Coturnix japonica: one gene and its partner. The protein of the gene in region 1 purifies or fractionates together with the protein of each later gene. This does not show direct contact. Links are inferred from orthologs where the notes say so. Each region holds a gene or a part of one and is shown on either strand. Other genes may lie near its edges.

The links.
Region 2: the proteins of NUAK2 (region 1) and PPP1R12A purify together in Homo sapiens (affinity purification with mass spectrometry; 3 studies listed by BioGRID and IntAct, counting the BioPlex papers as one, with this or other methods). This does not show direct contact. The link is inferred for Coturnix japonica from reciprocal best matches to the Homo sapiens genes NUAK2 and PPP1R12A.

What each region holds. Positions count from the first base shown.
Region 1 is NC_029541.1:2,392,511-2,396,896, forward strand, and holds the start of NUAK2 (NUAK family SNF1-like kinase 2), read right to left. Parts: upstream 2,877-4,386; 5' UTR 1,724-2,876; coding exon 1,526-1,723; intron 1-1,525. UniProt on the Homo sapiens protein: Stress-activated kinase involved in tolerance to glucose starvation. Induces cell-cell detachment by increasing F-actin conversion to G-actin. Expression is induced by CD95 or TNF-alpha, via NF-kappa-B.
Region 2 is NC_029516.1:36,036,777-36,041,199, reverse strand, and holds the start of PPP1R12A (protein phosphatase 1 regulatory subunit 12A), read left to right. Parts: upstream 1-1,351; 5' UTR 1,352-1,493; coding exon 1,494-1,730; intron 1,731-4,423. UniProt on the Homo sapiens protein: Key regulator of protein phosphatase 1C (PPP1C). Mediates binding to myosin. As part of the PPP1C complex, involved in dephosphorylation of PLK1. Capable of inhibiting HIF1AN-dependent suppression of HIF1A activity.

The DNA of each region.
Region 1 (4,386 bases):
AGGAGGCTGGAGTGCTTTGGAACACTCCAGGTGCTGCCTTCCCCCAGCACTGCATAAGCCCACAGATCCATTCCTGACCCCGTAAGGGCCCCCTCCAGCTCCTGGTTGCCCTGGGTTGATGGTGAAGCAATGATATGGGAGGGAAAGGGCCAAATGCTGCCCTAGCAGCAGGTGCAGGATGCACTGCATGAACCTTCAGAACAAAAGGCATGAGGTGGCAGGGCAAATAAATACATACATAAATGGGAAAGAAAAGAAAGACAGCCAAGCAGCTAAGAAAGAAGGTTTGATATTCAGTGAGTTACCTGTACAGTTTGATCAGCCAGAGGCCAAAGCTGTGCACGGAGCAGCTCCAATGCTGCTGTAATGTGGGATCTGCACAGCCCAGGAGGGGTAACCCAAGAACCTGCTCACACTTGGGCCTTTGGGAAGTGAAAGCCACTTAGAAAAGGAACAAACATCCCAGCTCGGGATAAGCCTAAAGATTAAACAGGTCCGGAAATGCTGAGTGGTGCAAGAAAGTATTTGTGGGAAGAGGAGAGATTTGTGGTTAAGCCTCCTGTTCCCACAGGGCCGGCTCGCTGCACTACTAGTTAGTCCAGCCTTTGACTATCTTTGGCACTTATGGAAGAGCCATTGGTGTGTGGATTTGATTTGCATTATAATGGACTTATGCTACCAGACAAACAAGTCTCTGTCCTAAGGGGCTTCCACAGGTAGGAACCTTTTCCGGTGGCTCAATGATCCCCTGCACAGGCTTTGTTTGGTGCAGAAAGGGAAAGCCAGGGCTCCTCACCCACCCCAGGGATGGGATCCCCCTAGGCTGGTGGGTGGGAGCTGTGCTGCAAGGCCTTGGTTATGCAGCAGCATCAGATAGGGGAATGGAAACGGCAGATCTGACTTAATGAAGAGCTGTCGGAGAGGAAAACCTCTCCAGTTTACAGTTGTTTTCATTGACACGCTCCAGGGGCACACTAGCAAGCCAATTTTACACCCTTCTGGTGCTCAAAGCCTCATTGCTTGTGTACCACAGGGTGCCTGAGGCTGAGCTGCCCGAATCACACCAGGTCTATGCTTGAGGCTGAGCTCTGCATTGCACAGAGCCCACTTACTTCCAAATGGGCCGAGACAGCAATTCAGCAAGTCACGACTTCAAGCAGACACTCAGGGCTCTGAGGGGCTCAGCTTTGCTTGCACACCACCGAGTCAACATGTAAAACCAACTCAACACCAGGGCGAGAGGAAGGGAACGATCCTTGAGACAGGAGTGAGATGTTTGTTCTTCCACATCGGATATCTGCAAAGCCCTCTCAACCCAGGAAGCCCGACTGGGTCAAGTGGGCTCTGGGTACAGCAGCCCCCCGGCTCATACCCTCCTTGAGCCGCATTCCCCCGGTACCGGGGGCTCTATACACCGCCGCGGTCCCTGTTATATTAGCGGGGCTGAACCGGAGTCGGTATCGCCGCACGGGAATAGCAAAGATGCACCGAAATAACACCGGGGGAACGCAGGACCAGCTCTTACCAGCTTCCCGGAACGCTCCCGTGCTTTCTTCACCTTCCCATACGTCCCTTTCCCCAGCGTTTCCAGGAACTCGTAGCGATGCTTGAGGTTGTGTTTGTGGTGGTGCCGTTTCACCGCCTGCTTCTTCATCAGCGGCCGTGGAGATTTGATGAACCCCTCGGCCAGCGAGGTGCCCCCGAGCCCCACAGCCCGCTCCATGCCGCTCTCCTGCCCGGCTCCGCCGCCAGCCCCGCTCCTAAATGCGACGGCCCCGACGGCCGCGCCTCCCCGCTCCCATTGGCCGCCCTACAGCCCGCCCCACCCGGCTGCCGGTACGGGGATGGGGGGGCTATGGGGCTGGGCAGGTGCAGGGGGATACCCGGCACCGCTGGGATAAAGGAGGAGGGGGGGGAGTGGAGATGGGTGTTGCCGTGGTGGTAATTGGGGGATGCGCAGAGTCGGAGGTGTAAAGGAGACAGTTGGGTGGGATAAGAAGGAAGAAAAGTGGGGTCCCGAGTGGTGGGGGTGTGTTGAAGGTGTGCAGAAGGGGATGGAGGGTGATGGTTGAACCCAAACTGAGAGATGGGGGGTCGGGGTGAGCAGCAAAGCGACCTGGTGCAACAAGAGGAGAGGTGCAGGTTAACCGGGGAGGGATGCATGGATGGCCACAGCCACACATACAGAACCACGACAGATCCGGCTCACTGTCAGAATAAAAACCAACCTATAACAGCGTATTGAGGGCAAAATCAAAGAGAGGAGAGACCAGACAGGCACAGCCACAGAGCGGTGCTCAGTTCTGCATGCACTGAGCAGGGATCTGTGGGTAGAACGGAATGTCTACAGGCTGTCCCAATAGAAATTCACTGTACGCTCGGCAGCACCTCCCCGTGTGGTCTTTTTTCTTTCTGCCCCTGTGGTAAGTCTTTGTTTTGAGATATTAAAAGAATGCGATGATCCTCCAGAGCAGCCCAAACAAAAGCTCTTGCCCAGTTCTGGCATGTGCGAGGACACACCGTATCGATGGAAGAAAGAGATAGCTGCTGCATTACTCATCAGACCTGGGTTTTCCCATCGCTTCCAGCAGCTCGGGGCAGACGGGGTGAGGCAAAGCAGGGGCTCATGTGAGGGATGAGAGAACAACCCCCGGCCTCTCTCTGCAGGCTTTGTGTCTATGGACACAGAGATATCAGCTGTGCCATCCCGTGTTGGGATGAGAGCCAAGCAGAGCTCCTTGCAGGCTGGGTACCAGAGTGCTGGGTTAGAAAGGTGCTGTTGAATGCATCCACCCCACAGCATAGACAAGGCAAGGGAGTGCTGAAGTCGAGACGTGGGACACAGTCATGCACATCCCTGCAGCCTCAGGACTCGCAATGTCTTGCACCCTTGGTTTGTATTGCCATTGCCATTGCCTGTATGGAGGAGCAAATCAATCCCCGGTTTAACATCAGCCATCTCCCACCTGTGAGGGGTTGGGGTGGGTGTCCTGATGGCATCCTGAGTCAAAGCAGAGTGGCACCAATGAATTATTCACTGCGCAGTAACAGGAGCTGCATTTCGATCTGAGGGCGGCCAGAGGGACCCGTAGGGGAGACAAACAAAGAGCAGATGAGATTAACTAAACTGCTGTAATTTCGATGTCAAAGTAAACAGATAGGATCCTGTTCAGGCACAGCCCAGAGGTTGCCGCCGAGTGGAAGGGGAAGAAGCAAAGCTCCCTGTTGCAATAGAGCAGAGAATGTCTCTGGTGGAGACGAAAGCTCCTGCACACTTACAGCCCACACAGCCACAGCTGTAGGATCGCTCAGGGTTTGCCCAGCGGCCCAGGAAGCACTCGAGCACGATTTAGCCTTAAGCACACGTTTAATGTCCTCTTGATTTACAGGAATGCCTTCCAGAGGCTTTCCCCGGGATGAAAGGAAATGACTCGGGTTGCTTCTCTTTCTGTTTCCAGCAGATAAATTCCTCTCCTCGGTTCTCCTCGCTGACACTCAGCCGAGGTATGCTTTTGTTCCAGGCTCCCTTCAGGAAGCCCTTTATAATGGAAATATCAAGGGACGCGGATCTAAGTCGGCTGGAATTCGCCGATAAGGATCCCTTCTTGTGGCCGTCTGTATTACCGCTGCTTCCTCAGCAGCAAACCCAAGGAAACCCAAGGAAAATCCCCAGCCCCATCCATAGCCATCCATCCCAGCTGTGCTCTCTGTAGCAGCACAGAGCTCTGTGTGTCTGCTAACACCGACGTGAAAGTCAGGCAGGAATTTGGCCCTGTGACAGGTCAACCTCAAAGCCAGTCTGATCGACCCGATGCTTCGTAAGGATGGGAGTTTGGTTCTCTTCCAGCCTGCTAGGTTTTTGTTATTATTATTATTATTATCGTTTGGATTATTATTTCTTAATGTAAATGGATGCTACAGCACTGCCTCTGTGTTACAAACATCCTTGTCGTGGTCAGAATAGACCCGTGTATAGCAGTCAGAACTTGGATAGGGAGAGGTGCCCTGCCAGGTTTTACAGAGCCAGAGGCAATAAAAAGACCAATGATCGCCTCTCATTAGTGGCCTCCCAGCCAACATCGTTCCCCTCCTGCTGTGGGGCAGCTCGGGCAGATGTGGAACCCATCCATCCTCCAAAAACACCAAAGAAAGGGGTTTTGCTCTGATCTTCCCCTCTGGGAGCCCCATCCATCAGCAGAAGAAGGGAAACACATTAAGCAGCAAAACGGGAGCCTTTGGAAAAGGAATTTATGACCTATTGAATCTCACCATCGCAGAGCAAGGCCACCTCGGCACCTGCACCTACCGCAGCTGCTCAGTTTATCCCCCCACCCCCTGCTCAGACCATCCAAGCCCAGCTAATCCCTCCAACCATCCATCCCAATG
Region 2 (4,423 bases), on another chromosome or scaffold:
ATGAGGAGAGACTTAGGGAACTGGGTCTGTTTAGCCTTGAAAAAAGAAGGCTGAGAGGGGACTTGATCCAGGTTTATAAATACCTGAGGTGTGGGAGCCATAGTGGTGAGGCTGGTCTCTTTTCAGTAGTGCGTGGGGACAGGAATAGGGGTAATGGGATGGAACTCCAGCATAGGAAGTTTCGCATGAATGTGCAGAAGAACTTCTTTACAGTGAGGGTGACGGAGCACTGGAACAGGCTGCCCAGGGAGGTGGTGGAGTCTCCTTCTCTGGAGATATTCAAGACCCGCCTGGACGCCTACCTGTGTGACGTGGTGTAGGGAGCCTGCTTTGGCAGGGGGCTTGGACTCGATGATCTCTAGAGGTCCCTTCCAACCCCTACAATTCTGTGATTCTGTGATATCTCTAGAAAAAAAATTGGGTATTTTTATAGTGTGTGGCCAGCAGGTTGAGGAAGGTGTTCCTCCCCTCATCTGCTCTGGTGAGGCCATATCTGGAGTACTGTGTCCAGTTCTTGGCTTCTTGGTTCAAGAAAGACAGGGAAAGAGTGGTTAGGCCCTGGAACAGGCTGCCCAGAGAGGTTGTGGATGCCCCGTCCTTGGAGGTGTTCAAGACCAGGTTGGACGGGGCCCTGGGCAACCTGATCTAGTAAATGTGTATGTTTGGTGGCCCTGCCAGGCAGGGGGGTTGGAACTACATGATCCTTGAGGGCCCTTCCAACCCGGGTCATTCTGTGATTCTGTGATTCTGTGAAGTGCTGGAGAGAGCCCAGTGAAGGGCTCCAAAGATGTTGAGGGGCCAGGAGCATCACCATTATGAGGAAAGACTGAGAGACCTGGGCTGAGATTATAGGAAAGAACAAACCACACACAATTTGAGGAGCATGAGGTCTGGTGACCCTCTCAAACTACACTTTGTTTCCCATAATGAGTTGTAATTAGAACTTCTTTTCCAGTAAGCTCAAAGCCACGGAGATCATTCAAATCAGCAGAAAATACGCTGTTTATAGCTAAAGCAAACATGCAACGTGCAGGGCAAAGAACTGCAATTCCTTCTCTCCCAACACAAGCAGGGCGCGCTGCTTCAGATTCCAGGCTGCAGTCTCACTAACAGACTCACACCCTCCCGCAGCCTTTGGTTCCCGAGCCCTGCAGTCAGTCCCTCACGAACCGCTGACCCTGGGGCTGAACTCCTGAACCCTCCGCCCGCCCAAACTCCGGCCGCGCCTCAGCCCGGCCCCGCCAACACCCCCGTCCCCGCGTGACGTCACGCTCACGGCCCCAGCGCCCACCTCCCTCGGGTTCCGCCCCGGCGTGGAAATCTCGCGGGATGATGTTAATGACCCACCGGCAGCGCCCGCCCCTCGGTTCCCTCCCGCCCTGCGCTTCCATCTGGGTGGGTGAGTGAGGGCGAGCGCGGTGCGCTGTGGGATAGGGCGGTATATAGTCTATCCTCGGCGCGGCGATAGCGAGGGGGTCAGGCGGGAGCGGGGCATGAAGATGGCGGACGCCAAGCAGAAGCGGAACGAGCAGCTGAAGCGTTGGATCGGTTCCGAAACCGACCTGGAGCCGCCCGTGGTCAAGCGTAAAAAGACCAAGGTGAAGTTCGACGACGGCGCCGTCTTTCTGGCCGCCTGCTCCAGCGGGGACACGGAGGAGGTGCTGCGGCTGCTGGAGCGCGGCGCCGACATCAACTACGCCAATGTGGACGGGCTCACCGCGCTCCACCAGGTCGGTGCGGCCGGGCGGGCAGGGCCGGGGGCGAGGCCTGCGGGGCGCCCCTCCGGGAGGCGGCCGCGGGGGAACGGGCCGGCGGCGGCGGCTCTGCCGTCCGCTGGGGGGGCGTCGGGGCGGGGAGGGGCCGCGGGGTCGGGCCCAGGGGCGGCGGGGGAGTGGCCGTGCCGTGGGGCCTCTGCCCCGGAGCCTCCGGGCCGGGTCACCTCCCGGCGGCGGGGACCTCCGGGAGTTCCCCCCCGCCGGGATCGGGGTGCGGGCCCCGCCCGAGCCCCCCGGGAGCTGTCGGGGCAGGGCCGCAGGTGAGGGGAGGCGCTGCGCGGGGTCGCTTCCCGCTGCCGCCGCTCCCCGCGGCGGTTTCCGGCTTCCTCCGTCCGTCCGGAGGTTCGGCTGCGCTTGGGGCTGATGAAAGCCCGCTCCTCTGTGTGCGGGGACAGCCGGGCCGTGCGCCGCGCTCCCTGTTCCAAAGGGAAACAAGCGATTTGTGCCCAACATAGAAACGCGTGTCACTAACAGCCCGCTTCTTCTGCCGCAGTGTGCGAGCTGAAGTTGACGGGAGCTGGGCTTTTCCAGCCTGCTTCCGCGTGTCGGAGAGCAGGGCGACGGAGCCGAGTGGCTTTGTTCGGGCGTGGGTGTGTGGCCGGGGTTGGTGCCGTGAGGGAACTTCACTCGGGGCAGGGAGACGGGCTATGAAGTTTCCTCAAAATGGATGCTTTGTGCACGCTGAACTTCATAGCAGTCTGATTGGAATCTCAAAACGTTAGCCAAATAAGGAAAGGCTGTGGCAATCCAGAGATAATGCGGGTTTGCCTGAATAGTTCTTCTTTTTCTAGAAGGCCAAAAGCTTCCACACAGTATTAAATTCCCTGGATAGCTAAAAAGTTAAAAAAATCTATATAGATAATACTTATGTAGCTTTGACGGGCCAGGTTCTCGTTCTTAAGTTTAGAACTTGTTTGCTACTTCAAGGTGAAGAAAAAGATTGGGATGTGGGTTGACCAAGTTGCAATCTTTCCAGAATGGTCAAGCGAGGTAATTAGGACACTGTTATATTGCACTGTTCTTAAACAAAAATGAGGTGGTGAACTCGGTGGGCGTTATCCTGCCCATGTAGACATCTAGGGATGTGAATTCCTACAAATATAAGTTGCACCTTAATAATGAAGACTAGAATCCGATTCTGAATGTAAGATATTGTAAGAATGTAAGATCTTGCTGCATTTTGCTCTGTTTCCTGTGTATGTCATCACTTGTTTGGCTGCGTAGGGTTTGCTTTCAGTTGTGAACTCAACTGGAAGAGTGACTGCACTGTGGTTAAGGCTGTCAGAGCGTTACTTCAGCAGCTTTGCCTGACTTGAGGCTACCCTGTTGCTCAGGAGCCTGGTTCTGTGCATTTATTCTTCTCTAATCAGGTTATGATTGCTGTGTGCTCGAAGGGAGCTCAGTATTACAAGTCATTCCTTAACTGGTTACATCGTAGCTCTGCAAATCACCGACTGGGTGCCAGTGATTGGTGGGCAGGGATGATGTCTGACTCGACTCCCTGAGAACGAGAGGTGAATGATGTTGTTTTTCTTCATGAAGTATAAATAGCATTTCCAAAGTGATTTTGACATTACATACAGCAAAGCCCGTCATCAGAATTACTCCGGTGTTATTCTGCCTGCCTTTTTACCTGTAGATGATTTGCGGGTTTGAAAGGTCAAAGTCTAATAGAATAAAGATTTGTGCCGCTAAAACTCCATTCGCTCTCTTGTTGCTGTACCAGGGAGCTTTTTCTGGTCTTACAATATTAAAAGCAAATAAGAAGATCAGTTGCGAGATGATAATCCTCTTGAGGCAGCCCAGGCATCTTATGGTTTGTGTGCTTTTCTTTGGTGTGGGTTTTTGTTGTCCTTGTTGTTGTTTGTTTTCTTCTTTAAAGATGACGAGGGAGGATAGCAAAATACCAAAGCTCTTCCCATGACTGCTTTGTTATTTTGTTCCGTTGTTATCAAGGTTTTTAACATGTCATATGAAAGGTGCAAATCACACAGTGTGCCGTCCTTAACGCGGATTCATTTAATCTGATTAGGCTGTGGAATAAAACAAAGCTTTATCTGTTCCCAAAGGAAACGCTTCAAAAACTTGTCACTTGTCCTGACAGTTCTGACTGATGTCAGTGGTGTTGAAGCCCATTTTGTTGGAAACTGTTGGCCTTGCTGTTGTGTTGCTGCTTCTTGTTGTCGTTTTCCTTGTATGTTTTGTTGCTTTATGGATTGAATTTGTTAGTGGGGACAGAGTGACCCTACCTTCTTTGGGTAGCGTTTAGTCTTGCATCTAATATTTTTTTGCAGTTATTGAGAGCAAATCTGTAGAGCTGTGGAATGGCTCAGGTTGGAAGGGACCTTTAAAGACTGATTAGCTCCAATGCTCATGTTCTGTGTCTGAATGTTTAATTCTATTGCTGTTCAGCTTTTGTTTTTCTGGTTACTTCTATATGTAACCAGAAAAGGCTTAAACTGAGTGTTTTTTGTTTTTGCCCCGCAGACTGGATGGTTGGAGGTGCTGAAGGAAAAAGTACTAGTAATTCTTAATTTCAGAACTGATCCCTATTGGAGCATCATGTTTTGTTGCTCAAGCAATTAGCTGGACTTCTCCCATTTCAGTGGGGCTGAATATCAGAAAGCGTTATGTAGGTCTGTTTCTGT